Alligator mississippiensis: one gene and its partner. The protein of the gene in region 1 interacts with the protein of each later gene in a biochemical or structural test. Links are inferred from orthologs where the notes say so. Each region holds a gene or a part of one and is shown on either strand. Other genes may lie near its edges.

Region 1 (11,071 bases):
TGGAGTTCATTAATCTGATGACAAGGAGAGAAAATAACCCCAGTTTCTTTTCCCATGTTTTGGAAAACCATCAACATTGAGATTTTCTGCACAACATAATATTCGTCATGCAAGGGGACACTCTTTCACTTCCTAAACTTAAAGCAGTATTTACAAAATGTAGCCAATATATAGAATGGACAAGTCAAAGACAGGCATTATCAAGTGACAACAATTATTTGCTACATTTCACATGCTGAGTCAATACTATCTGACTTAGTGCCCAAGCACTGAAAATATAATGGACAAACAAAGTAAGAGATTGTTTAAAAAATTTAATCCATTCAAAACCCTATGCCAAGTTTAGTCTGGGTTTTTTTTTTTGCTTTTGTTGCTGTAAAAATCAGTATCAGTGATAAAAAGATGTATGCATGGATATACATCATGGAAGTTCCATGGCCAAGAAAGCCCATTGTATTATGACATTTTCAAAAATACAAGTCTTCTATACCTGAGAGTCTGTAGATACACAAGATACTTCAAGGCATGACCCTAAATTAACCATCATTACCCCCTGCAAATATATAAAATTTCAAGATCTTAAAGTTATTTCCATCTCTATTCCTAGATTTGAGCAAGTTCAGAATGCAATGCTGAGAAACACAAACACCTTCATATTGGCCATTTTTGGTTCTAAGTTTTAATTTTTTCCCACTGCTTTAGAACTAGCTTCCACTGCTTTGAAGGCAAGTTGAGTAAATAAACACAGGATAAAACCCTCCTTTAACACACTAGTGTGAAGCTGGATGGGTAAACTTATGTCTTTTCTATTATGAATGGAAAGGGCAGATTACCGATCAAGGAATTCTATTCACTGACTACTTCTGACTACCAAGCAATCCACTTCAGCATCTAAATTCCAAGGTACTCAAGGCTACTACTGCTCTTGAAGGAAGAAAAAGCTACCCTAATGCTCTGAACATCAGCACCTGGTTAGTAAGTATCAAAGAATAGTTCTATGGAGTGATGTTTGCCACCAAAAGTCAAGAAAGTAAAAATAAAGAACAGAGAAGAACATTATGTCTACAAAAAAATGAAAGATATCCAAGCAAAGCATTAGTGATTGGGCAATAATGTTAATATAGTTTCCTTAACAGCAAAAATTATTATTTTATACAGGCTGTCCTCAGACTTATGACAGAATTGGTTCCTGAAAACAGGGTCTTAAGTCGAAATGTAACTCGGAACCAATTTTCCCATAGGAAACAATGTTATAAATGGGGGATTGGTTGCTGAGCCAAGGCCCGATACACTATTTTCACCAACAATAATGCAGAATTTTGTACTCAGTCAATTATAGATGAGTAATATAGCTACATTAATGTGTTTATAGTCTAAATAGCAATCATATTGACTTGGAAGGACTTTTTTGAGGCAACTTTGCTACACTTTTTGAAGGGCTCTTGGCTGGAGTCTTCTCAGGAATTTTGGCTCAGCTTTGTCTGCTTTCTTAAAGAAAATGTCCACGGAAGGTCAGACAGATGTTCTCCAGGGAGATGGACAATGCAGCGAGCTTGTTCGCTGGCATGGCCTGACGTCGGATCAAGTGTTGTAAAGTCGAAACTGACGTTAGAAAGTTGAAACAGGGTGTCAATTTATAAACGTTGTAAGTGCGAAATGTTGTAACTTGAAACATTGTAAGTTGAGGACTGCCTGTACCTTTCTTTATCATTCACCCATGTATACTATAGAAAAAAAATACTGAATAAGTTATAGGGCCAGGACTAGCACTAGACCAGTGCTTCCCAAACTTTTCCTCAGTGTGACCCCATTTCCTCAGCATGCCCCCTCACTCCTAGCCTCCAGGCCTCCACAACCCCAGGTGCCCCTCACTCCCCAACCCCCACAGTGCCCCAGGGCCAGGACCCACAGCTCCCTGCCCCCCCAACCCCCAGCAGCCACCCACAGGAGGCGACAGCAGGTGTGGCCAGAGAGAAGTACGAGCCCAGCTGCACCCGCCCCCGCCCCCGCCCCCCCCCCCCCCCCTCCAGGCAGCACTACCCTGTGGAGAGGAGCCGGGGGGTGGGCAGGGATGTGGGCTGCCCATTGTAGGCAGGCTTGGGGCTCCCTGCCCTCTCCCCCCAGGGACCCCGTGGTCCAGTAGGCAGGACAAGGTATGAGAGGGAGTGCTGCACTGCCACAGCTGCCCAGGTGAGGCACCCCTGGCTTATCTGCCAGCAGTGAGGGCAAAACTCCATGCCACTGCAGCTGCTGTGTCTCACCTTGGCGGATATGGTGATGCAGCACTCCCAAAATGGGTCCCGTCCACTGGGCCGCAGAGGAAGCTCCTGCCCACAGCTGGTCCGGCTTGGCTGCACCCCGCATCCCACTGGGCTCAGAAATCTCAGGAGGCACGTTTATTGCCATCCCATCCACTGATGATGTTGCCACCCACGTTCAGGGTTTCAACCTACAGTTTGGGAACTGCTGCACTAGACAGTAACCACACTACTGGTAGTTACCTTTATAAAATTATGTAATAGTAAGCAGGCAGTCTTTCCATTTGAGAAACTTAAATCAAAAAAGCAGGAAAGGAATAAAAAGGAAATGGGAGATGTAATAAAGACACCTAAATGGCAAGCAGAGCACCAACACTGGACATCACAAACAGAGATGCCTCAGAATAAGAGGTGGTAAAAACAGTGAAGATTGGTAGCTTAAGGTAAATGAAGTAAATTCTAAATACAGATACCAATCTTGAAAATACAAATAGTTTTACTTACATGAATAGTCAACTGGATTACTCACATAAGTAAAGTTACACACACACAAATCTTTGCACAAAGTAGTAACTTTAACATTACACAGGTAAGGATAGAAAACCCTCAACAGCAACTATTTGGGTACATATTCTTTTTTTCACTTTCAAGCCCCTTTATCTGATCCAGTTTGGTTTTGGAAATCAAAATCAGTTCTAAATAGTGAGCCTTGAAAAAAGTTCTGTCAAAAGATGTCAGCTTCTACTTTGGAAATGTGCAGGTCCCAATATCTATGTATACTTAATAGAGTTTTTCTTTGGTGGAAGTTAATTTTTGTGAAGAATCTTAATGGAGTCATTCTTCAAATAACTGCAGAGAAGAGAAATTATAACAATGTTCTAACAAGAACCATTCTGAAGGGGAAAATGATGACAATGCTCAATTTTTTGCGAGAACTGATCTGTGTGTGAACATTCTTCACCCACAAGCGCAGCTTTACATGCTCAGTAACAAGAACCGTCAGCTAATGTAAAAAATAGTCTTAGCTTAGTATCATGTCCCGTCCCTATTAGTTTACAATTAGTTACAAGCATTCTGAGATTTTAATAGCTGAACAGAGCAGATTGTTAGGAAACTTGTGTAGTACATTGTCTTTGGCATAGTCTGCTGCAATCTAAGTGTCACATTTTTGCCACTTCTAATTTTTTTTATGATGTATCCCTATGAATTGTTTACAACGGCCATGGCCGCTTGGAATTGCTTTTTTTCACTACAAAACAAGAAATCTGAACAGCATGACTTATTAAGCAAATAATTTCTTTGGTGACCACCAGCCATTCTTCAGCAGAGATACCCAACTTTCTCAGATGCAGTGGTCCCCTTTGACATTTATAGTTGATATAATTATCAATAATTAGAAAGCGAGTCTAAAATAGAGAAGCTAGAGCTGAATCAGACTCCTCAGCAGAACTTCATCAGCCTGCCAATGTAAACAACTCTTTTATTTAATCAGCAAGCCTTAGGGGCGAGTAAATGTTCCTCAGCATGAGACTTGCTGCTGCAGTGAGGTCAACCAGGGAGCTCCAACTTCTGTGTGCAGGCAACACCTAGGGGCCCTTTGCCACTCACCATCTAGGCTAGGGTCACAACCCCTCCCCTAAAGCTTGAAATTCAAGTCAATGGAGTCTCCTCTTTAATGTGTAGGTGCGTGCAGGTACGCACAGGTATACGTACACACAGGCACACGCACAGACGCAGACCCACGGGCACACAGGCACAGGCACATCCGCACAGAGAGGCCTGCGGGCAGGCTGCAGCGCAGCAGCCCCACTCGCTTTAGTGGGCACAACTGTCAGAGCGGCGGAGGGGAGGGCCCAGGCCGGGCGCGGGCCCAGGCCGGGGAGGCCGGTACTGGCACCCACCTCTAGGCCCGGGCAGTCGCGGCCCCTCACCTCCCCCCGGGCAGCCTGGCGGCGGTGCCCCCACACCCGCGGAAAGGGCCGGGCCGGGCCGCGGCGCGAGGGGGGGCCGGTGCCGGCCTCCGGCGGCCGCTCGAGCGCCGTGACAGGTCGCGCCGGGCTCGTAACAGCCGGACCCCGCGGAGGCCGCCGCTCCCCCGACCGGGCCGGGCCGGGCCGGGCCGAGCCGGGCACTCACGGGGAAGGCGCGGATCCGCATCTTGGTGTCCTTCCGGCTGCCCGTCCCCTTGCTCAGGTTCGACATCTTCGGGCGCGGAGCCGCCTGTGGGCGCGGGCGGGTGGGCCCGGGCCGGGCTCCGGCGACCTTCGCTCCGGACTGCGGGCCCTGGCGGAGCGGGGCGGGTGGCGGCGGCGGCGCAGGCCCCTTCCTCCAGCGGCAGCGGCGGCGGCGGCCCCCTCAGCCTCCTCCTCCTCCTCCTCCTCGGCCGCGATGGCGGACAAACATCGCGCAGTGCGCAGGGCCGAGCGCCCCCGCCCGCCAGGCGCGCTCAGATCCGGCCGCGGCGGCGGCAGCAGGCGGAGCGCGGCCGGGGGGAGGGGGCGGGGCCTCCCGCTCTCGCGAGACTTCCGCGGGACTGTCGCGGCCCTCAACTAGGCCCGCGACCCCGGCCGGGGGGTGTCTGGTCTGGCCCGGCCGCTGCGTCGTCAAATCTGGTACTATCGGACCGTGCGGTTTTCACTGTCAATAAAGCCCCAGGTCCGGGAGTCAAGGGAGTGCACCAGCTCCCGGGGTTTCATTGCAAAGAAAAGCAGGAGTCCTAGAAAGTTCAGTTTGTTGGGAGCTGTTTTTTGCGGCGCTGGGAGTTTGTCATGGCCGGGCCTTCCCGGGCAGCAACAGCAGTGGGAAGTCTGCAGAGTGGGGAGGAAGCTAAGGCAGACGTAGTCTTAAACACAGGGTCAAACCCAGTGAAAGGCGAATCAGGCAAAAGCCAATTATAGCTCTATGGAAGATGGGGAAAATAACTGGACAGACATATAGGACCTTTCCTGTTTTTTGCAGGCTAAATTTAGTTCCTCAGAAGTCAGTTATGCCCTGCTAAGGGTGCACATGCACATACCACTGCTGCGGTACCCAAGCAAGCTCAAAATGCACTGGATCTGGTATCGGAAGCACTAAAACCAAATGAGCGCTGTGCTCCACCCAAACTAAATAGGCTTGTGTTGTGCTGCGTAGGAATAGCCTGAGTCATGACACCGATGGGTGTTGTACTCTTTGGGAGACTCATCGAGTTATGTCGCAATATATTTGTTTTCCTTTCTCTTGCTGTTTTCTTTGCTCGTCACAAGAAACGCCTGAGAAATGAGGGCACCACTTGAGGCAACACCTGTGAGTGCATGAGGCTAAATATAGGTCCCTTGAGAATGGGGCAGTTGCTATAATCAGAGAATCATAGAGAAAAGGTGGGAAGGGACCTCCAGCCATCTTCTTGTCCAACCCCCTGCCAGAAGTAGGATCATCTCTATCTAAACCATCCTACTGTCTACCCTTTTAGCAAAACTACAGTCAACCTTGATGCAACCACAAAACATAACACCTGAACCTGCCATCTTTAAACAAGGTGACCACGGCCATCGCTGTCCTTGTTGGAAAAGTTGTTAAAAAAGCTGAAGAGATCCAAGGAAGAGGACCACACCCCCAGCTACAGAGGAAGAAAAAAACCCTCACAGTCCATGTCAATCTGACTTGTGGGTAAAATTTCCCTATGCCAAATTTCAGTCTGACCCTGAGCAGAGGGGCAAGACCCTCTAGCCGGAACCCCCTGTGTGTAAGGCCCATTAGGAGCCTTGGCACACACAAAATGGGGAAGGACAGCTTGTATATATCAGATTTTGTACATTTGGGGAGATAGGGTTGGCCTCATATTTGTGTTTGTCACTCTAAAAACTAGCAGGTGCTTGAAGTTTGGGCCTAAGTGGCTCACTCAGGATCCCACACAAGTGGTATATAGCACAGCTAGGAATAAGAGGCCTACCTAGTGACTTCCAAACTCAATTCTGCCTACTGCAGCATTCTTTCTCCTATGATCTCCAACCATTTTCCTAGTACTGCCCACACAGTGCAATATGTATACTAAGAGCACAGTAATATATGTGTTCATCCTATAACTTTTCTTTACCAAGTAACTTGCTCTTTTGTCTCTTTCAGTTCCAAACCACTACAGTTCCTTGGGATTATGCATGTTCCTATATTTTAAACCTCCTGTTCAGAATTACTTATATACCTAAAGAAGACATTATATAACAACAGCACAACAAGATTAAGACAACAGTCTTAATGATTTCAGCACGACCAGGCAAAACCATCCAGCCGTTCTCAGAATACATAGGAAACAGTCACAAGGTATGACAAGGCAAATGGTAGGAGGGGCAAAGTTTTCCTACTGACTGCCTACATGAAAATAAAAGATCCACATACATTTTGAATTTCCATCTCATTTTGGAGCTTAATAAACAAATGCCACCAAATTAAGGCTCAACAAGGAGTCTTTTGTCTAAAAGGAATACAAAAAGTTTAGAGGGAGATCTTTGCCTTAAACTGCAGGTTGGAGGCGGTTGCTTCTACTAAGAGAAGGCGAGGAACCTTTGAGGCCTGAACTGTAAGGGCACAGTTATTTTCTTTTATTTCCTTTGTTGAATACAGTGAGTGGGCAGAGCAGCCCAAACTTTTATTATAAAATGATTCCAAATAAAGGACTCTGTCTTCTTGAACCTTGAAAGAGGTATGGCTGGAGCTTGCAGTAAATGAACTGGCAAAAGGCACAACCAGCTCACATAGATACAAGAATTTTCTAAGATTTTTCTCATCCCAAACAGAGAGAAAAAGGTCAATCTCACATTTTCATGAATTTTAATAATAATTCAAAGTTGTTTTGATCCATAAGTCAGAGACCTAGTTCACTGAAAAGTTTCATTTCAGTTTTGTTTTGACCTTTTCATAATTTTTATAGTTTTAAAATAAAATAAACTTTGGACTAACCTTATATAATAGTGTGTGTGTGTGTGTGTGTGTGTGTGTGTGTGTGTGTGTGTGTATAAAAAAAATATAAAAAATACTAATATGTAATAGTATATATATGTGTGTGTGTGTGTGTGTGTGTGTGTATAATACTATACAATAATACATATACATACATAATACAGTATACTAATACTATACAATATACTAAGAGCCAGGCGAAGAGCATCAGAAGCTCTAAAAGCTTGGCTCCAGTACAACACATTATTTGCATTTTTAATTAACAATTTCAATGAAATCTCCAAAAACAGTATCTTCTTTTTTTCAAGTTAATTTTTCTATTTGATGACTCAGTACTGCATGGTTGAAGCTAATGGGAAGTATAATTTGAAGGGAGAGGTGGAGGGAGGGGGAAATCAGGCTTTCGGTATCATACCAAAGAGTTCTTAGGTATTAAAGAAACCAGATGCACATTTCTTCCCCCCTCCCCACCAGTTTTGCAACATGTAACATACTGAATTCATTTGTAATAGAACCTTTGCTTGCAGAATTCACAGTTTTTGAATGGCAATAAACTATTGCTCCTAAGAATCATAAAAATTACCTTCTCTATGCTATGTTTCTCCTTACTTTATATGAAAATCAGACACATTTCAATATTTTGTTCCAGAGTAAGAAGGAAAAAATAATATGAAGTGTCTATGAGAGCAAGAAAGAATGACTAACCCCTGCAAACACCCAAATGCTTAAGTTAAGCTGTGGTTAAGAGTTTCAGGAAGTAGGCCCCATTTTATAACTTTCTGCATCTGAAAAAAAATGAACAAAATAGCTGCTTCCTGCATGGTGGGTGAAAAGGAGAGAGGTTCCTTTCCCGTTAAAGTAACATATAAAGATAGAAAAAGCATTTCTTTTTTAACTATATATCTATTTGAATAAGATGCTTTTTTTTAGGTTTTGCATTAATTCCATGTGGTGCATTAAGATTAACACAATAGTGATCGTAGAAACAAATAAATTGTTTTCTCAATCATGACTTTTAAAGTCTATGAAAAGAACCATGTTGATAACAGCACAAAATAAAGCATAACTGAAAAAAATCTAAAGGGGATACAGCAAAATAAGTGTATGCTATATATGTACTGAAGTCAGCTAAACAGAAGTAGACTGGTTTTCAATGTATAATAATTTGGGACCCAATACTGGAGTCCTGATTCAAGCAGATTTGCTCTCAGTGTCACATCTGGAAGAATATGATATGGCCCAATGGAGCAAATGGCACTTTTAAACACTTAAGTCTCCTTGATTGCAAAAGGAGTTCTGGATACGGTGGGCAAGCAAGGTCCAAAAAAAGTAGAATCTTAGGATCATCTGAAAGTAGGACAAGAAGTGCATGGACGTTTGATTCCCTGGGGACAACTAGCGAGGGCACACCTTGTGCCACTAGTTGTTCCTGGGGAATGCCCATGCCACGTGCACTTTGGCATGTGGCAAGTTACCTGGGGTGCTGGTGGCCTCCCAGGGCTGTAGCTGTGTCACTCCTGTGGCACAGCCTGGGTGGCAGTGGCATATGCCTACGCCAGGTAGGCTTCGCTTAGGGCAGCTGATGCTGCTGCCGTGTGCATCACTCCACTTTTTTTCAGTGGGTTTTTTGGATCCCTGGATATACAGGGGTCAAAAAAACCCTCTACGCTGCTCCCTTGCAGTGCAGAGAACAACAGAATGTTCAGTATGTGGTGCCGCAGATGTATCTGCCGTGTTACATAATGCTTGGCCATGCTCATCTGGATGCGGCCCATGAGGTCATCTAGTCCAATCCCGTGCTCAAAGCAGGATCATCCATGACTAAACTATCCCATCCAAGTGTCTGTCCAACCGGCTTTTAAAAACTTCCAAGGATGGAGATTCCACAGTTTCTCTAGGTAGCCTATTCCGGTGCTTGACCATCCTCATATTCAGAAAGTTCCTCCTAATCTCCAACCTAAATTTCCCTTGCTGTGTCTTGAGGTCATTGTTTCTTGTCTTGTCCCCTATGGCCACAGAGGAAAACCCATCTCCATCCTTTCTATCATCACCCTTCAGGTATCTGAAGACTGTTATCAAACCCCTGCCTCAGCCTTCCCTTCTCCAAACCAAATAACACTAGCTTTTTGCCTTTCCTCATAAGTCATGCTTCCAGGTCTCTAGTTATTTTGTTGCTAGCTGTTGGACTCTCTCCAATCTGTCCACATCCTTCCTGAAGTATGGAGCCCAAAAGTGGACACATTACTCTAAACATTCAGAAAAAAATATTTATTAGATTACTACTACATTTCTGTATCTAAAAACAGGACAAGTTCAACTCCTATTGAATGCCTCTGAACGAGTTAGTTGATAAAAGTGTCACCCTGTCCTACCTTCTTCCTAGTCTTCTACTTAGCTGCTATCCCTTGGGAGGTTTTGCTCACCATTTTGCATGTGAATCAACATCGTGTAGATTTAATTGTAACTTCCTTGAACATTGCTTCATAGATTTTAGGGAGGAGTATAATTAGGAGATAATAAAGTCACCTACTTATCTGAGGCGGCTCTAGAATTCTTGATTTATTTTGTTGTTCTTTTCTTCCTAGGTGAAGCTTTTACCTAAAAAGCATCTCACCTAAGCATTTTTCTCCCCCAAATACCTGTTGCCATTTCAATATTCAGCAATCAGTGGCTCTATTTCATGGAGCAGCCATTTTGTCAGAAAATTTCAGAGTAGAACTTTTCAAATAAGCACACAATTTCAATCAACAGAAATGGTAAAAGGCTCTGAGAGTTGTTTTTAGATAGTTGTAGTGTGTAGTGAAAGCAAGCATTGTACCATTATTCCTATGTAAACATTTGCTCTTTTACATTTCTATGGCTTTAATATATATTGGCTGTAATACAAAGGCCTGATGCTTCGGCAAGGTGTTCTGAAAGGAGTTAAAACAGATATGAAGGTGGCGAATAGTCAGGCATACATGGTGCAAACAGGGAGCAGAGAGGATGAGACTTACTGTAGATGATTTCGAGTCATATTCAGATTTATACAGGAACAATACAAATTTGTCCAAGTGTCCAGCTTGGTTGAGGGTCAAGTGCTGTATCTGTATTGCTAAATGAGGTGCTAAATGGATGGCAAATATAAATTTGGTCAAAAAAAGCCTGTAGTTAGAAAGTTGATATACAGAACACTCTTCAGCAGCAACATTCATAGTTTCCATGCTATCAGAGTTAAGCTAACTGCCTGTGTGCAGAACTAATTAGGAGTCAAACGGAAGAGTTATCTTCTTTTTTATTATGCAATGTATGATGTCAATACATACAGAAAATAACCCACATGCTGAAGAGGCACCAGACAGCAGCATCAAAACTTAAATCAGAAAGAAAAAGTGTATTTACAAGAATATACCCACACACTACTATAACATTATTATATATATTTCTGAAACAATGCAGAACTCCAAGCAATTTTTCAAAATTATAATGGTATTATTGACTTACAAAATCACATTTCAGTCTGAGATTATTTTTACCTATTTTATTTTCCTTTTTGCTTTTATTTATCTGCAGTTACTAACTTGACTATGAATGAATGAGGTGAGAGAACATATGTCATTTTAAAAATGTTTTTACTTTGCACATTTGACACCACTGTGTATATTTGGTTTTAGTATTTCCCCATGGAGTCAGTTAGCATTTAATCAGCGGAACTTTTTCATGCATCCATAACTTTATGCAAATGATGCCATTGACTTCAATGGGACCGTTCATGTTTAAAGCTAGATGCTTACCTAAATTGTTCAGGTTTGGAGGGCTTAGGTCCCTGCTGTTTGAACCTATTAATATTTACAAAAAATAAATAAAAATATTCCAAAACCATAATAATTCACAGAGAA
Region 2 (10,525 bases), on another chromosome or scaffold:
ATGGAATTTAGCTTGTTGACTCTACTCAGTGGAGTCATCCCTGTGTTTCTACTGCATGATTCGAGCATCTCTCCCATTTGCCCTCCTTACTGTTCCTGGTTCTTCTTTCTTCCTCAGCTCCACCTTCTGTCTCCTTCTCTCCCCATACCTGTGTTACTGTGTAGTCCTTCTCCTCCAGTCTGTCCTTGATTATTCTGATTAAAGGGCCAATGTTATAGAACTCGGCTTCTTCCAGAACCCCTAGAAATAAAGGCACAGAGAGCACAAAAGGCACGTGGATGAGCTGCTGTACTTTCTTATTGGCTTATTTTCTCTGTTTCTCAGTCCCATTTGGCATCTCCAAGAATTCAGATCCATTGACCAGGAACTCCTCGTACATGAAGAGGTTTGGGCTGTTTGGAAACTCCTACACCTGGTATTGAATTCAGACTGCCCTGATTACTGGACCATGGGAAGAGGTAGTGGCCTGAACTGAACCCCAGCTCCCTGGTTACCATTCCTAGATTCATAGATGCTAGGGTTGGAAGGGACCTCAACAAATCATCGAGTCTGACCCCCTGCCCTGGGCAGGAAAGAGTGCTGGGGTCAGATGACCCCAGCCAGTTGCCTATCCAACTCTCTCTTAAAGACCTTCAAGGTACAGAAGAGCACCACCTTCCTTGAAAGCCTGTTCCAAATTCTGGCCACCCTTACCGTGAAGAAGTTCTTCCTGATGTCCAGCTTAAATCTGCTCTCTGTCAGTTTACGACCATTGTTTTTTGTTATCCCAAGAAGCGCCCTGGTGAACAGAGCATCTGCAATCCCTTTCTGCGCCCCCCTAATGAATTTGTAGATGGCCACAAGATCACTTCTCAGCCTTCTTCTGCGGAGGCTGAAGAGATCCAGTTCCCTTAGCCTCTCCTCATGGCACTTGGCCTGCAAACCCTTAAGCGTATGAGTGGCCCACCTCTGTACCCTCTCGAGTTATCCACATCTTTCTTAAAGTACAGCACCCAAAACTGGACGCAGTACTCCAAGTGCGGTCTGACCAACGCCACATAGAGGGGAAGTGTCACCTCTTTGGATCTGTTTGTCATGCATCTTGCTAATGCATAATAAAGTGCAGTTAGCTTTGCTGATGATTTCATCACATTGATGATTCATGTTCATCTTGGAATCCACTAGGACTCCAAGATCCCTTTCTGCTTCTGTGCTGCTGAGAGGGTCATTCCCCAGCCAAGAAGTGTGCTGGATATTTTTACGCCCCAAGTGCAGCTCTCTGCATTTGTCCTTGTACTGCATCCTATTGTGTTCTGCCCACTTTTCCAACCTGTCCAGGTCCACCTGCAATCATTCCCTACCCTCCAGTGTGTTCACTTCACTCCACAATTCAGTATCATCTGCAAACTTGGACAGAGTACACTTCACACCCACATCCAAGTCACCAATGAAGACATTGAAGAGTACAGGTCCAAGGACCGAGCCCTGCAGGCCCCACTGCCTACATGCTTCCAGGTCAATACTGACCCATCCACCACCACACTCTGGGAATACCCCCCTATCCTGGCTGTGATTCCAGAAAGGGGGCACTGTTCAATGAGCTCTGAACCCAGGCCCACTGCTCACTTTCCCAGGGAGAGAAAGGCTCTCATTATGGGGTACACAACCTGCTCCCTCTGATTTACTGACTGAGGAGGTTGATTATAAGCCCCTGGCTACCTTTCTGAGGGCTTCACTTTGGCCCTTGGTTACTGTCCTGAGGGCTTCATTCAGCGGCCACTGAATACACTCTCAGTTTCTCTTCTGCAGAGTTCTATATGCTCAAGAGTGAGACCTGATTTCACTTCTTGTCATTGTCCTAGGACTACAGGAATTTGAGTTTTCCCATCTGGTCCCTGTCCTTCAGTGACCTTTGTCTTGCTGATCTCAGAACTGAATTGTGCTTTACCTCAAAGCAGATCAACAAAGATTTGTGTTTCACTTTAAGCTACTGTGTTTGCATCTGGCCCCTCTCCTGAGACACACGTGATCATGTTGCTAACAGGCCTGTGGGAGAGGGTAGGTGGGGGGCATGGTACCTAATGGGTCCACAAGGGGCAATGATGTCTCAAAAACAACCTTCACAGATTCCCTGGTCAGTATGCAGACATGGCAGGCAAGTGAGATTTGTCTGACCTCACCCTTCCCACTTTAACCCACTCAGAGCTTTTCATCCTCCTACCTTCCTAGTGGAAAAAGTGGAAGGGTGAGAAGGGACTGAGTGACAAAGCAGTCTCAGCCAAACAGGGCTCAAACCCTGTCAGGTTGCATTGGAGAAGGCCACCTGCATCCTATTTGATAATTCAGCAGGGAACTTACTATCCCTTTGACCACAGTGACCTTGTTGCTCCTTTCCCATCTCTTCTGATCCCCAGTAACTGCAACAGCCCATTCAACCAGCGGAGCAGTGATGGGGACACCAGCTTGTTCAAGGGTTGGACTCAAACTGGGCTTCCCTCACCATCCTAGTGGGCACTCCCTCCCAAGCACTTATTCAGTGTATCAAATGAAAACTGACCCATTTTCAAGACAGCAGAATGGAATGAGGTCAGGGAATTAGGGCAAAGAGCATGTAATGTAACCCACTTCCAGCAGCAGGGAGAGGTGTTAAGAAGGAAGTTTGGGGTTTCTAAGACTCACCCTCTTCAGCCATATCTTTATCCAGTACCAGCTTGCCATGACGGAGAAAATTCAGGATAGGTCCAAAGTATGTGGGGTCCCGGTCTATGAGGTAGGCACCAGTCTCATCCTAACCACAGAGACAAGCCAACATAGGAAAAATGTACAAGGGAAACTTGTCCCCATCCCTGACAACACCATGCAATGAACTGTAATAACATAATAATTTTAGTAACAATATATGATATTTCTATGGCTCTTTTGAGTAGTAGTAAAGACATGGCAATGGAGCTGGGTTCAGTTCTCTTGGCTATGCAATCTTGGGACATTTACCACAATCTCTCTGTGCCTCAGCTTCCCTATGAAAGATGAAGATGATGCTACCTCCCTTCTTTAAGAGATTTGAGATGAAGAAAACCATAAGCATTAGGCCTCTTAAATCCTTCCGAATCACATAGGCATACAGTACCATATAGAAAAACAGCCACATCTGAGTGAAGGGCTGCTGGTAAATGCTGCAGACAACAGTGCTACAAATACACAAGCTCAGGTACTTTGGCAAAGTCAGCATCAAAGCCAAGCAGCCCATCAGGCCAACACAGTTAAAGCACTCCAGTTTCTGCAGCCAACAGAGGGACATTATGTTCAGCTGCTTCTGGTTCTCCTGCCTAAACGAACAAGTACATATTTACAGCTGGTTCAACAGGAACAGATTCCAGCACAAGTCCAGCATGAGGCTCAAACACACAGCTTCAGGTTCACAGCAAGATGCCTTAACTACTATGTTATCATACTTTGCTTGGCAAAGCATGCTGGGTCAAAACAGTACCCAGGATTTTTAACTTTCATACAGAGCAAGCGGGACCTTGATTGTAAAGGTCTCACTATCCTAAGCTCAGCCCCGCAGCAAAAGAGACAATACTCTTACTTTTTCTCCCTCTGATAAACTGAAAGGATCTAGGAAACTCCTGCACAGATTTGAGCTGATGGGCTTCCTGACATTTCAGGCCTGAAGCTGCCACCCCTCCAAACTCTCCCTTCTGATTGATAAGGCTTTCTGGGAGCTTTACTACATTTCCCTGTCAGTAACAGCAAGAATCAAAAATAAAAAGTCGGGGACTCTCCACTCAGCATGGCTCCTACCTTGACAGTCGCATGAAGGCAAGGAGGATGGGAAGCTCTTAATTTTGGCTGTACTCGGCAAAGCTATTTCTCCTGTCAGGCTTCAGCTTAAAGTCTGAGCCAAGCAGTGGCTCAAAGCTAGGGCACTTCAGGTGGAGTAGTGACAGCACAAGAAAACAGAGCCTCTCTGGAGTTGCTGGTAGTTCTGGTGCAGAAGACAGGTGTTATGCCACATGTTAAGACAGCTGCATGGCACTAAAAAGAGAAAACCAGGGGATCCAGGGAGGGATGAAGGTCTCTCCATCAAATTACATCTGCCCCTCTGCAGCCGCAGAGATGCTGTGCCCTCCCTGCCATCAGCCTGGCTCCATCCCTTTCTCTCCTATTCCTGCACCGAACCTTTCTCTGCCCGTGTGCTCCTTTCCCTCTCTCCTCTTTTCCTCGTGCCTCCCAGCCCAGCCTGTGCAGAGCTTTGTCTCTCCCTCAGGGGTCCCTTTCTTCCCAGATGGGTACAAGAAGAAGGCAGAACACAACCGCATGCACGCACACACGATGCCAGGCAGAAAGCTACCCCTCAGGGCAGGTGCCAGCCTGATGCTTACCTGGTCCGACTGCAGCTCCTCCCCCTGGCACAAGCGGCACAGGAATGATTTCTGTTCCCGGCACAGGGTCTGCCTCGTGGTTAGGAAGATGGTGCCCCCAACATTCAGCCGTACCCACTTGCCCCTGCTGCTGGTGGCAGGGGGAGGCTGGTGAGTTTCCCAGGCATAAGAAACCCTTTCTGCCCGTTGCATTTCCTCCCTTCCTTCCATCCTCATCTCTCCCTCTCTCTGTCTCTCTCTGTCCCTCCCCTGCTCCTAAGCTAAAGAAACCAAGGCAGGTATTGGACACTGGAGGATTCTGGGACCTGTAGTTCCTGAGGTGGCCTGCACCCCAGAGGTGGCCGCATTTCAGTGGTGCTGTACATACACAGCTTCTTAAATGCTATGGGATCTTTTGGGAAGATAGATGCTGGATGAATGCCGTATCTACTGTTCTTGGTGAATGGCACAAGAAGCAAAAGTGAGATCCACAATCTGAACCACTGCTATCATTCAGAGGGCATTAGGATCACGGTTTTTGCTTACAGCCCTTCTCTAATTTTTATGAGTGTACTTGCTATACAGCACTTTGAAGAGGCAAAGTAATATGTAAAAAACTTTAGCTGTCAGGTGAGTGAGGGTCTCTCTGAAAATGGGCACCTAGGAATTCTGGGAACTGTAGTTTTCCATGTCCCACCATGCCTGCAACCCATGATGGGTGGACTTGGGAGATGCTGAGAAGTGCAGTGTAACACATCCCACTAACCCTGCTGTGGGACACCAAAGGGCTCTAGAAGCTGGCCTCCAGATCTGGGTCACAAATGCAGTGTGCTTTGAATGGAGGAGAAAACTGCTGTGCCCATCTGCCAAATAGTGTTATCCCTTCCAGTGCCTGCAGGACAGTCACCTTTCCTGTTCCTGATTCCCCAAACAGGTATCTGACTGCTATCTCAGTCACTGCAGTGCTGTTGAAGTAGAGAAGTTGGACAATTTCCTTCTCTGAAGTGGGTGGTTTTAAGAGAGGGAAATTAGCCTTCAGCAGCAAAGCCCAAGTTCTTTATATTTCTCTCTGACTCAGAACAGCCATCTATCTACTTGGCAAATTTTCCCTAATCTGCTACCGTTCCAACACCTCTAAATCTGCCTGGCAGAGACTCCTTCGTGGGGGGGAAGGAAAATGAGTCTCCATGTTCACTTAGTCACAGGGCTTTGCTGCTACCACACACACACACACACACACATACTCTCCAGTGTACCTCTGGAATGATGTAGCACCTTCTAAAAGTTTCTACCTCTAGCTCTTCTGAATGCCCCATTCTAGGCAGTGGTTGTGGGAAAGAAAAGACCAGCTTCATCAGCAATTTAGTTGCATGGATTCCAAGACTTAAGCAAAACACGAATGCTTTATCTATCCCACAACCCAGCGTCTACCACACCCTACTAACCAACTACAGCCACGCCTGCCAATCTTTCAAACCGTATTCATATCAGGAAGAAAAATGCTGATTGCTTCCCTCCCTTAGTCTGACACAGTCTATATCTTCTCTTACCTCTTTTCCAAATAGGTTTCTGACCTTTGGTAGTGCAACACACAAAATGCAGCAGCATAGACATTTTAATTTATCATGTCCAAATGTTGCCTTTCCAGTCCAGGCTGTTGCTACACCATGATATGCATGCTCTAGCTTTTGTTCTAATCAAGGATATGCATCTATATATTAATAACAGTGTTTGCAGGAATGGTGCTCAACCTTTTTAAGGCACCTCTTGGAAAATACTGGCTTTTAGTTTTCATTCTTTTTTGAGTATGGGAAAATAATAGAGCCATTTTTCTGTTGCAAATAAATCATATAGACCACAACAGGTCAGAATGTTTTTAACATTATGGATACCTAGTTGAAATCACTGGGTTTATCTTGTGAATCATTCTTGTACACCGAACAGTGCTACCTTTGTGTAGCACCCTACAACACCCTTGAAAGAAACTCACGGTACTCCAGGATGCCATCATTGCCTTAGGCGCTTTTGCTGATGTAATCGGGCACCAAACCCCTTCAAAATCATGTTGCAGTGCTAGATGTTAATATCTGAACAGAAATCACAGGCCTGACTGTGCACCTTCAAGGTGTTTGCAAAATTGGGCTGTGCTTTTCAGGCCAGCAAGTAGTGTATTGGGTGAGCATGGGCAGACTAGCATTACTTTGGGCTATACTGATTGCTCTAGGATAGTCTGTGAGGAAATTAAGGGATTAATAGCAAAGAAATTATGTTCTGGGAAGAAGAGAGAGGGATGGGAGGGGCAGAAAGCAGGAACAGGGAATTGTAGGACTGCTACTGGAGGATTTCCTATGCTTATTAGGCCTGTGTGAGTCAGCAGCAATCTGATCCGGCTTCAGATCTGGCCGCTTCGGATGGCCGCGATCCGATCTGGAACTCCGACTGGGTTCCCGCCTCCATCCAGCCAAAGCATCGGAGCCACCTCGGAGATCTGGCCATAGGGTATAATGGGGAATCAATGAAATATCTATAACTTTGTTGTTTTTTGTCTGATTTGGATGAACCTTGCAGGGATGGTAGCCTCTCCTGAGAGCATGAAACCTGCCACGTTTCAAGAAGATCAGTGCAAGGGTTTGGGAGGAACTGTACCCCAAATTCTTGAAAGCCAAACTCCTGTCATGTCTATGTGTTACAATGGGGTTGGGGGGTGGGGGGGGTGAAAACTGCAGGACTGGTAGCTCGTACTGTGTCCACAAAGCCTGCCAAGTTTCAAGGAGATCGGTGCAGGGGCTTGGTGGGAACTGCACCTCAAGCTGTGGTCAAGCAAAACTCATGCCATGGGTGATACTGTGCGCGCTAAGGCGCAGCGGGGTGACAGCTGCAGGGATGGTGGCCCCTGCTGTGGCCACGACGCCTGCCAGCTGGAGGAGATCGGTGCAGGCAGGTCTGGGGCCCTGCATCCCTAGCTGCTGACAGACAAAACTGTGCCAAGACTGTCTGTGTCTTGGGTTAGTTGATTGTCTGCTTTGATTCTTTCCTCTCCTTAGCCTGGGTTTGTAGGTGCTAATTGATGCTCGTTAAGTCGTTATGTAGTAGCTAGGTCCTGTGTATTGAGCTGGGCCCTGAGGCCCTGGTCCCTGAGAGAATCATGGATTGATTGGTAAGGGGGAACCCAGCAGCTTAGCAGCCAGGCCTGCAGCAGCAGTCTCCCCTCCCTGTCCCAAGACAGACACAGTCAGTCCCACAAGCACCCATGGCACCAGTTTTTCTTGTCTGCAGTTTGAGGGGCAGTTCCCCCCAACCCCCTGCACCGATCTTCTTGAAACTTGGCAGGCTTTGTGGCCTCAGTAAGAGCTACCAGCCCTGCAGTTTTCACCCCCATGTTGTAAGACATAGACGTGACATGAGTTTTGCTTTCAAGAATTTGAGGTACAGTTGCCCCAAAACCCCTGCACTGCTCTTCTTGAAACTTGGAAGGATTCATCCTACCTGCAGAGTCTACCACCCCTAAAAATGTCATCTAAATTGGACAAAAAACAACAAAGTTATAGGTATTTTATTGTTTCCCCATTATACCCTATGGCTGGATTTCCGAGACGGCTCCGAGACAGCTCCAAATCGCTTCGTGAAGCCTAATGAGGCCAGTGCTTCGACCCGGATCTGCCGCTTCAGACCCCGAAGCATCTGAATCTTCTCTGGATCCAAAGCTCTGTCCAAAGCCTCACACAGCCCTAGTGCATATACGCTGTAGCTTGTGGCTACAGGGTGACTACACCGAAAAATTAGGCTTGACTGTCTGGAGTCTGGGGACCCAGGAGTGCTGGGAGTTGACTACTGAGGTTCTGAATGTGTCTGGTTAGGGAGCATTGGCATATATATCTGGGCTTGCCCAAACTATCAGCACATATATATCCAGACATATGATGAGCTCACAATGAAAAGAGCAAGCCAGCAGCACCCTGACTTGCTAAGTGAGCACAGACTCTGGTTATTTTTCTCTTGAGATGACACCAATTCTAACTTGTTGCTTCCCTATAGAGTTGGGACATTAGCTCTTTTAAATGACTTTGAGAAAGGGTGTGAATTAAACAGAGATGCTGATGAGGCTGCATGTGGTACCTGTCCCCTTCACTGTCAGGGAAGGCAGTGGAAGCTTTTGCCAAGTGCCTGAGGAGGTCTGCGGCAATCTTAAACTTTGTAAAATAGCTCTGCTACCAAAGGTGATGCTGACATACAAAACAGAGAGAAACTATAGAGGGAGTGAGCTGAGAAGAGGGGATACAGTTATGCTGGAATGGCTACAAGAAAGAGGTTCCCCCTCTGAAAAGGAGGAAATAGGGGAAAATAGGGGAGAGTTACAATCTTTCAAGAGGCTTCTGAGTGTGGAACAGATCCAGAACCTGCCCCAAGACTGAAAGGATATGTGCATCATAGGGGAATGTGCAGATGGTTCAAAGACAGCCTAAAGAGGAGTGTCCCAGACATGAGATCCAGGTAAAGGGAGAGGAAGGTGCTCTAAACTGAGGGCATGTGGGCATGCCTATGGCAAGTGGGAGAGGCATCCCTCAACTGACTCCTGACATTTTATCGCCTGATGTAACCTCTCCCAGGGACTGGGGCACGAAGGACCCCGAGCCACATGCCCTAGGGTTAGTGCATCATAGCAGCCCGAGCAGAGCAGGTGAGATGCTGCTCTTCAGGTGCAGGTGCTCTGAATGCAAGGCCAGAGCAGGTAAATAATCTGCAATCAGACCCAGGATCAACAAGAGGTACCAGTCAATGTGGTGATATCTGAGGGATGGAAGTACATGAAAGCTGCCCATGCTTGGTCAAACCCTGCATGGTACCCTTCAATAACATCGCTGTCACAGTTCCAAGGTTAACTACATAAATAATCCTTTTATGGCATTCTCAAGAGCAGCTGATTAGATCTTGGGTCTCTGGCTGTCACCTGTTTTTGGAACAGAAAGTTGTATTCCACCTCTTCCAGACCGGAATTTTAAGGTGCAGTCCCCTGAGGTCCAACTATGTTCACCCATGCACTATAATGATGACAGGCTTTTGGTGTGGGAACCAAAGTTACGGAGCATGCTGTATGGGGGGACAACTCAAGACATGGAATGAGACACATATGGGCTGGGGGCCATATAGGCAAAGCTGGTTGTTCATGTGGGTGTGTAGTTTAAGCTACATGTTAAGTAAAGAGTCCAGTATCAATTGAAAATTTCTGGTATCATGTTTGATATATAAGCATTGGATATTACACCCAGGTCAGAACATGGTGCAGCACCTGCAGAGCTGTGTTCCCTCAGAGACGATGATGCAGTGGCCAACCACCTTTTGCAAAGCACATTATTATTTATTTAAAGCAAAGGCATTACAGAGAAACAGTCACAAAACAATAAACAGCGTATACACTTACAAGGCTTGCCAAGGTTTACCTGACTTCCGGATAAGTTTCTAAATAGCCCAATTAGAAGTCTGTCAGTTGTCAGGTCTGACATTTTTTTCCCAAAGTAGAGCTGTCTCTTTTAGTTGCTTGCTGCCTTCTTGAATCATTATGTACAATTCCCCCACCTTTCACACCTCCATAGTTGAGGTTTCCATAGACCTGTCAGCTACTTTTGGCATTGACATAACGTCATCCTCAGTAACCCCAGATCCCATGGGACACCTGCTTAATGAGCCAGGAGCACAGGGGCACATTTGAGCTGCAGTGCAGTGGCCATTATGAATTTGTCAGTGTCCACAGCTTCTATAATATCTGAACATAATGAGACTTTGACACTTCTAAGCTTCCAAAATATCAACTCTACCTCAGTCCCTGTGTTGACCCCATTGCCATGCCTGTAGACCAAGTCAAAAAAAGGCTCTGGGATCCTGATACTGGGCTATTGGAAGATAATTCCTTTTGGTACCTTATTAGGAAAATAACATAGCACTGAACACTTTGGAGGGCTTCTTTCCTTTCCTCGTTCATACCTTGTGACACGGTATTTAGCAGAAGTTGCAGATTTTTTGGAATCTAACAGGGCTGCACAACTTCAGAAGGATAGCAGGCAAGCTCACTGCAGCCAAACTAGACAGGAGGGAAGTTGACCTATAATGTTTTCATGAATCTCTGCTTTGGTGCAGCCATAGGAACTGTTAGCCAAATGAATGGATGGCAGTTGAACTAATAAGCAGTC

What was found.
Region 2: the proteins of CUL3 (region 1) and KCTD17 form a complex in vitro, tested with the Homo sapiens proteins (3 studies listed by BioGRID). The link is inferred for Alligator mississippiensis from reciprocal best matches to the Homo sapiens genes CUL3 and KCTD17.

The regions. Positions count from the first base shown.
Region 1 is NC_081830.1:51,712,763-51,723,833, forward strand, and holds the start of CUL3 (cullin-3), read right to left. Parts: upstream 4,717-11,071; 5' UTR 4,461-4,716; coding exon 4,395-4,460; intron 1-4,394. UniProt on the Homo sapiens protein: Core component of multiple cullin-RING-based BCR (BTB-CUL3-RBX1) E3 ubiquitin-protein ligase complexes which mediate the ubiquitination and subsequent proteasomal degradation of target proteins.
Region 2 is NC_081827.1:100,593,092-100,603,616, forward strand, and holds the start of KCTD17 (BTB/POZ domain-containing protein KCTD17), read right to left. Parts: upstream 4,612-10,525; 5' UTR 4,578-4,611; coding exon 4,362-4,577; intron 2,768-4,361; coding exon 2,659-2,767; intron 241-2,658; coding exon 149-240; intron 1-148. UniProt on the Homo sapiens protein: Substrate-adapter for CUL3-RING ubiquitin ligase complexes which mediates the ubiquitination and subsequent proteasomal degradation of TCHP, a protein involved in ciliogenesis down-regulation.